Linked DNA regions of Xenopus tropicalis. The protein of the gene in region 1 purifies or fractionates together with the protein of each later gene. This does not show direct contact. Links are inferred from orthologs where the notes say so. Each region holds a gene or a part of one and is shown in the gene's direction. Other genes may lie near its edges. The genes, in order: gnb1 and pfdn5.

Region 1 (3,823 bases):
CTTACCTTGTACCCCGGGCTGGTGCCCCTGTTAGGAGAAAACAGCACCAGCCCGGGGTACCTGTAGCGCAGCTCTTCCTCCTTCCGCCTTTGCTTTTGGAAGGACTTACGACGGGCGCATGCGCAGTAGAGTGAAAATCCGACTTCTCTGTTAAAGTTCGGCTTTTCACTCTACTGCGCATGCGCGCGATGACGGAAGGATGAAGAGCTGCAGCTACCCTGGCTGGTACTGATCTCTCCCAACAGGGGCACCAGCCTGGTGTAAAAGGTAAGCGATTTAAGTCACTTGGGGGTGCCTAACATAATTTAAACAATTAACTAAACCCAATAGGATTGTTTTACTTCCGATAAGAATTTGCATCTTTATTGGGATCATATACAAGGTACTGCTTTATTATTGCAGAGAAAAGGGGAATCAATTTAAAAATCTGAATTATTTGATTAAATTTTGAGTCTGTGGGAGGCAGGCTTCCTGTGATCAGTGCTTTCTGGATAACTGATCCCATACCAGTAGTTGTATTTAATAATTAGATTAGCTTAACCTGTAGTTGCTTATTTGGAGAGAGTTAAATATATTTTTAGAAAAATGCCTCTTAAAATCATAGCTAACTTATAGTTGTCACTTTGTTGGTGTGCAGTGTTCAGACACTTTATGATATCCTGTGCAACTATGTGCAGCCTTCTGGCTGGATTTTAGGCAGCCTGGTTTCAATCAGCTTTGAAGCATCATAGCCTTTGAATTAACAGTTCACTGGTGCAGGAAAGAAACTGAGATTTAGAGTAAACCAGCAGTAGGTTTCACATTAGCCTTTATCCTTTGTGGGCTTGTTTTAAATATTTATACAGTCTGTATAATTCAGATAATTATTGTTGAGATGTAATCCGCATTGTGGGTTACTTTAACTATCAGGAGAGAAGAAAGTTAGTTCACTTGATTGTAGTAACGTGTAGTTGTTTTATTTTTTTGCATTTTTGAAGTCTTAGAATTATTCAACATTTCTATTTTGAAATTTTAGGATCTCTGGTTTCTGGGGTCTCGCCATAGCAGTTAGTAAAAATGGAAAATTAATAACGAGTTTTTTTTCTTGCTCATGTAGTTGCTGACCCTTACAAATAGAAAGCACTTGCAAGCTGGAAAGAGTCGGAATTAACTTGAATGATTTTTGTATTAAAAGAACAAACCATTAGTTGCCCTTTCAGTACTGATATATATTTGAGTGTGCATAAATGTTGCTAATTTTCATTATTCATGCACAGTTCTTGGTAACAATCATTTTCTCTCTGTGAGTGATTGTGTCACTAATTCTAACTCTTGTTGTAGATAGTATATAAATGCTTCAGGCTGTACCTAGACTATACAGGTACATGTATAGGACCCGGTATCCAGAATGCTTGGGACCAAGGGTATTCCAGATAAGAGGTCTTTCAGTGATTTGGATCTCCATACCCTAGGTCTGCTAAAAAAAAAAAAAAAAACAGTAAAACATTAATGAAACCCAATAGAATTGTTTTGCATCCAATAAGGATGAATTATATCTTAGTTGGGATCAAGTACAAGGTACTGTTTTATTATTACAGAGAAAGAAAATTAATTTTAAAAATCTAAATTATTTAATTAAAATGGAGTCTATGGGAGACAGGCTTTTCAGTAAGATGGAGTTTTGTGGATAACAGGTTTCCGGATAACTGTTCCCATACCTCTACCAATAAGCATTGAAAGGCTTTGGCGTTTGGGAATACTGGAGTTGTAGTGTAACAAAAATGTGGTTGAAAATTGCCTAAAAAGTTGAACATGGGGTAGAAATAACGTTTTTTTCCCCTCCTATATCTGATCATTTTCCTGTAATCAGAGAATCAGTATTTCCCTTTTAATGTGTTTATGAGCTCTCCTTGATAATTTTTCACATTTAGGTTCATGCCATCCCGCTGCGTTCTTCTTGGGTAATGACTTGTGCATATGCTCCCTCTGGAAACTATGTTGCCTGTGGTGGTCTTGATAACATCTGCTCTATTTACAACCTCAAAACTCGTGAAGGAAATGTGCGGGTGAGCCGTGAATTGGCTGGGCATACAGGTAAGGCTTCTAAAGTTTAACTATAATAACTTATTGATAAGTGTGTAACCTAGTAATATTTTGTTGATGAGTAGGTTCCACTGAAGACATTGGTAAATGGCAAAAGCTTAACCATATTAACTCATCACAGCTGCCTCCTAATGCTCATACACTGGCATTATGAATAACATTTGCTACTTTCGCACTGGCTGAGGTGACATTTCAGATTGACTCTAATGTATCTGCAGCCTACAGGCTGGCAATAAAGTGATTCTGTCATGATTTATATGGTTTTTTATTTACATAGCAAATAATTCACTCTATCATTTAAAATGTTATTCTTGAGCCAAGAAATGTATTTTTTTACAGTTGTAATATTGGTGTGTAGGCAGCCGTCTCAATGAAAAATTCTGTTGTGTGATTCTGATGTGTTTTGAAAAAAACCTATTTTCCTGTGACCGTATTAATTTAAGGCAATAGTTGGAAGATTTTAGTATTACAATAGCTGTTGATATTATGCTTGTTTAAGAAACCATCCAAATCCCTTGTATTGCTTTAAGGCAGTGCTGTCCAACTTCTGTTGTACCGAGGGCCGGAATTTTTCCGACGTACGTGGTGGAGGGCCGATAATGGAAGCCAGTTTTGACCACTCCCCTTTTTGAAACCGCACCCACTTGAAACCACACCCATGTTATCACATGACCATACCCATATTAATGGTTGTAGTACAGCAAAAACCTGCCATACTCTGCCTGCCCTACCCTGCCTGTGTGTGCCATACTCTGCCTTCACTACCCTGCCTGTGTGTGCCATACTCTGCCTGCCCTACCCTGTCTGTGTGTGCCATACTCTGCCTTCCCTACCCTGCCTGTGTGTGCCATACTCTGCCTTCCCTACCCTGCCTGTGTGCCATACTTTCACTGTGTGTGCCATTCTTGGCTGGTTTGTGCCATACTTGGCCTGTGTGTGCCATACTCTGCCTGCCCTACCCTGCCTGTGTGTGCCATACTCTGCCTTCCCTACCCTGCCTGCGTGTGACATACTTTCACTGTGTTTGCCATTTTTGGCTGGTTTGTGCCATACTTGGCCTGTGTGTGCCATACTCTGCCTGTGTGTGCCATACTCTGCCTTCCCTACACTGCCTGTGTGTACCATACTTTGCTTGCCCTATGATGCCTGTGTGTATGGCACCCACAGGCAGCCTACAGTGACAAAATGCTGGCACTGCTCCTACAGTCTGCACAATAACTATATATTAAAAAAACTTTTTAATTGAAGTACCACCTCAGTATATGTTCTTTTTGTAGTGTGCAGGGATTATTTGTGGGTTTCTACTGCTCCTGAGGTGTGAACAGGGGAACAATGGGGGTGATTACAGCCTGAGCCTGAGGTGTGAACACTGCAGGGGGTGAACAATGCAGAGATTAAAAGGTGTGAACAACACAGGGGATTACATATTTAAACAATACAACCTGATTACAGCCTGAATCTGAGGTGGGAACCATGCAGGGGGGGCAGTTAATCTCAGTACTGATACCACTTAGAGCTTACACAAGAGTAAGCCATCAAAGCAGCCAGACAGGTGGGGGGCCACACAGAGGGGGGTCGCGGGCCGCATGCGGCCCGCGGGCCGCCAATTGGACAGCACTGCTTTAAGGCATCCAAGGGGGGGCAGGCCTAGGTAGGACTGCTTAGCCTAATGGCAATTAGCAGGTAAATATTGGTTGAATGCGGTCTTGCATATTTCTTGAAGCCCAATCCGCAGGCTGAT
Region 2 (4,427 bases), on another chromosome or scaffold:
AGCAAAGTACTTTATTTCCCATTGAGAGGGGTGTGAGTCTAGCAGGTGAAATGCTATCATGGTGCCTGTGGGGAGACCAAAGAATATCTCTGGCAGAAGTACTGGTGAAGAGAGCAGTATTATTAATAACATTTATTTATTAAGTGCCAACATATTCTACATATTCTACAATCAGTATTTTGAAGCATGTCAACTCTGAAAAGGAGATGCAAAAAGAAATGCAATGCTGCCCCCATGTGGAAGGCAGTTTAGAACATGTCCTATGAACTTTCACTGCAATAGATGCCTTTTAAGAAGAGGATTTAACACAAATTAATATGCTATGCAACATTCCAGTAACCCACAGATACTTCTAGGGTCATACCGAAGCCCATCAATAAAGCTAAGAAAGGTAACCTTAGACTGGCAGAAATACTTGTATTAAAAGCAGTCAAATCAATCCCGTAATGTTGGACAGCAACACAACCCCCATCAAAGCAATTACGAGAACATAAGCTTCTACATACTGTGCAACTTCAGTGGGTCTTAGCTCTTCAAGATTAATAATCAAGAGGATCACTGTTCTATAGCGTTTGGAACAAATACCTAGACACATTTGTCAATGGGAAAACAACACAAACAATTAGCCCCATTCGGGTTTACTAAATGTTGGGTGGAAAACTCTCTTTTGGAATAACTAAATCCACCAACTAACCAAACAAATTCTGCTCCCTCCTCCTCACTTGCCTAAAGACCAAAAAGGCATTACTTTGTATTTATTTTTATGTATTTTTTAAGAAATGCAACACTGTCTGGGACTGATGACACTACAACAGCAAGTCAAGTTAAAGTATTTTTTTTGTGACTACATTTTGCATTGTCCTGATGACTTGCTTTTGCCTGTAGAACTTTAATGTGTACTATTTTCATGTATGAGCATTCATATTATGGCTAATCTTTCTTTGTACACAAGAATGTGTGATACATGACTGCAAAATGTAAATTTTTAGTGAATTTCAAAATTTCTTAAAAAACAGTGCTTAACCTACTGCATAGATTCTTAAAATATTATATTGTTATGGGGGGGTCTCTCTTCTTCCGTTTCCTACTGTTTGTTTCCTACTCTATATGTTCCTCTATTCTTTCTTCTCTATTGATTGTTGAAATACCATGTTACTGGTAGAAATGAGGTAGTTTAATGTAACAATAGCATTTTGTGTACTTTTGCACTTATTCCTCTCTTTGCAAAATAAGAAAAAGAAAATCTAAAAAAAATATATATATATTTCTGCGATTTGACTTATTTATAAATATCATGTTAGCAAGCGGACCATCTGCCAAGTACACGGTCCCTTACATGTTAGTACGCATGCGTCGCAGCCTCCGGACTATCATAGAGCGCTAGCCGTGCGTACAGAGCGCCAAACAATATACGGTTTCCCAGCTAGACAGTCACTATAGTAATGTAGTAGGAAGGCGGGGTTCTTCCTCTCTCAAGATGGCGCAGACAGTGAACATTACCGACTTGTCTCTGCCGCAGTTGGAGGGATTGAAAAGTCAGTTGGACCAGGTATCTTAGTTAATCTTACATTGCCGTCTTAAATTGGGGATGCCTCTGTGTTGGTTTTTCCCCACGACTAAACGTAGTGTCCCACAACTGGCTTGGATGAGTTCTGGCCACCCCGTGGCTGTGGATCCCTTACTCCCAGAGTCCCACTGCAGCTTTTGCTGTCCCGCCCCAGCCTGGTGTTGCTCATACTCCGGGGTTACAGGGTTAGTAAGGCCTTCCTTATGTGCCTTTTCCTTTCATAGGAAGTGGAGTTCCTGTCCTCCTCCATCGCTCAGCTAAAGGTGGTTCAGACCAAGTATGTGGAGGCAAAGGAGTGCCTGAGTGTGCTGAACAAAAGCAATGAAGGTGAGTGACAGCGGCAGCCAGTTAGTAGGGTGTGTCAGTCGGCTTAGTTCCTCTCTCTAATAACCTGTATGTGTTTATCTGACAGGGAAGCAACTGCTTGTTCCCCTGACCAGCTCTGTATCCTTTTCATCACTATATTATGAAAAAGCCATATGGTGGCAAAACCAGTGAGCTGCTTCCAGTTTTAAAGTATGTTCTCTTCTATTTGTTTATTATATTATTAATGTAAGGAACGTTGTAAGTCTGTAGCAAGCTAAGTGTCAAAAATCTACTAAACAGTAATGCATTTTTATCCAAAGTTTAAACACTAAATGGCTAAACTGCTTAGGTGACTGCTTAAAAGAGTGTGATGATGGTTGTTATAGTGTAGGAAAAACATGTCAAGAATAGCAGCACGGTGTGTTTTTCCTGGGTACTTGGACAAAAATGTACTGTATACAGTCAGTCAGGCTATACAAAATATAGACCAATTGAAAAGTTGCTAATATTATAGGCCATTGTACAATGTACCAAAAGTTATCTTAAAGGTGAACTCCCCTTTTAATGAGCAAAAAAAAATAGAAAACCAGTATTTGCACAACAGTGTTTAAAGAAGAACAGTAGGTGTGTGGGTTTTTTCCCCCTTAACCTTTCATGTAGATGTATGTGCCTGGGACTCTTAATGATGTGTCAAATATACTGATCGATGTGGGTACTGGATATTATGTGGAAAAGGTGAGCTACTTTTTTGTTTGTTTTTTAGCTTAAGGTGTGACTGTGATGAGCAACCTACTGTTAACATTTTCTTGCGCAAAAGTTTGTTAGTATATTTCTAACTATACATAACACATTATTGCTACTCTTCAAACCATCTGGTGTGACAAACAGATTTAATTTTTATTGGTTGAATTAAAAGCAACTGGTTTATTTTTATTTTTTAAAATTTAGCGTGTTCTGGAACATGCACAGGTTATTCTCGCAGTTAAGATTGGCAGAACTTGTGCAAGTTTTGCCCAAGAGACCATTGGCTAGACCAGTAGGAAAGCGAAAAGCAGCAATAGGGAAATTTGACTACTTGTGTAAAGCTGCTGTACATATGCATAAGCCCTGTATAGGTAAATAATAATCCACACTTGCTTACTTAGTTGCCCTTTAATATCATACCACAATACATTCACAACAATGTAGCCATATCACTTCTAGAGGTAATTTGGTGCTGATATCACTCAGAGAAATTTACCTCTAGAAGTGATGGCACTTATTATAACTGAAAAAATAACTTGAAGCACTTATATTTATTATATATTATATATATTAGTGAACCTGGGCCTATGTGCTTTTACCCCAGAAAAAGTATTTTTTTGTTAAACTGTCTGCTTGCAAAGTGGGAGACTTAGGCAGCTGCAGTTCTCTGCAAGGAATTTGTTAGGCCTACAGCAGAGGATGTTAAGCTAAGCAATTTAACAGCAGTGTGCTTTGTAACCACTATATATATATATATATATATATTATATAATATATACATATTTTGGTTTCAGAGTACCAAGATAAGATGTTATTTTATTTTTAAAGGTGGCCATACATGTAGCAATTCCGATCTTTCCTGCGACCATGAGTTGCAGGAAAGATCGTTCGTTTCCCCCACTGACATTCAGAGTCATCGGATGTGAAGGTAGAAACAATAGGAATTCTACCTCCACCTGCCGGTTCAGCCCTGAACGCAGGTTTTGTTCGGGCGCCTTCAATGGCGCCCAGTCAAAATCTTTTAACCCGGCTGAGCGATGAGACAACCGATATCCGCAGCCTTTGCAATAACGGTCATCTTGTCGATCTGCCATACACGCACCAAATATCATACAAAACGAGGTTTTGTACAGTATCATCAGTGCGTGTATGGCCATCTTTACTCAGTCAAAATATAATGAATGCAGTGCACTTTAAGCTGACAGGATCTGTAGGTATCTGTTTCTGATAAATGTATCACTGGGCACTTGTAGTGTAAGTTTTTAATATAAGGAGATTCATGAATTCGGAAAGATATATGGTATGATTAAAGCTTAGTTAATTTTGAAGGCATATTGTGATTATTTGCCTTTACAGGGCACATATACCCACTGGTATAACTTAGGGCTGAACTTCACATGAGATTTTGTAGAATGGTGTTGGTTTGACAGATCGCATCCTGTCGAATGTAGTTGCATGGTTAAAAAATAATGGGACTGATAGAAAAATCTGATGTGTAAACTATATGAAAGCTTTGCCATCAGATGCAATGTGCCTTTTGGTAGTCGACTTTGCCTGCTGTGTCTTCATACAACCAGACAAAATCTCATAGTGTCTGAAAGAGATTTTTTCTCATTAAAATACATGTCTGATATAGACACGGAAACAGGATCATACAAAACATTGTGCTTGTTGCGTGACAAGATTTTGTGGGTCACACAAAATCTGACCCAAAAATTCTCATCAAAATCTCCTGTGTAGTTTAGCCCTTAAAAGGGCACTTCATCCAAAAATATTTTTTTACACAGTAAAGGAAATTATTATTCTAAGC

What was found.
Region 2: the proteins of gnb1 (region 1) and pfdn5 purify together in Homo sapiens (co-immunoprecipitation; 3 studies listed by BioGRID and IntAct, with this or other methods). This does not show direct contact. The link is inferred for Xenopus tropicalis from reciprocal best matches to the Homo sapiens genes GNB1 and PFDN5.

Annotation. Positions count from the first base shown.
Region 1 is NC_030683.2:91,940,284-91,944,106, forward strand, and holds part of gnb1 (guanine nucleotide-binding protein G(I)/G(S)/G(T) subunit beta-1), read left to right. Parts: intron 1-1,910; coding exon 1,911-2,073; intron 2,074-3,823. UniProt on the Homo sapiens protein: Guanine nucleotide-binding proteins (G proteins) are involved as a modulator or transducer in various transmembrane signaling systems.
Region 2 is NC_030678.2:147,137,632-147,142,058, reverse strand, and holds the start of pfdn5 (prefoldin subunit 5), read left to right. Parts: upstream 1-1,456; 5' UTR 1,457-1,477; coding exon 1,478-1,549; intron 1,550-1,791; coding exon 1,792-1,894; intron 1,895-1,979; coding exon 1,980-2,011; intron 2,012-2,533; coding exon 2,534-2,608; intron 2,609-4,427. UniProt on the Homo sapiens protein: Binds specifically to cytosolic chaperonin (c-CPN) and transfers target proteins to it. Binds to nascent polypeptide chain and promotes folding in an environment in which there are many competing pathways for nonnative proteins.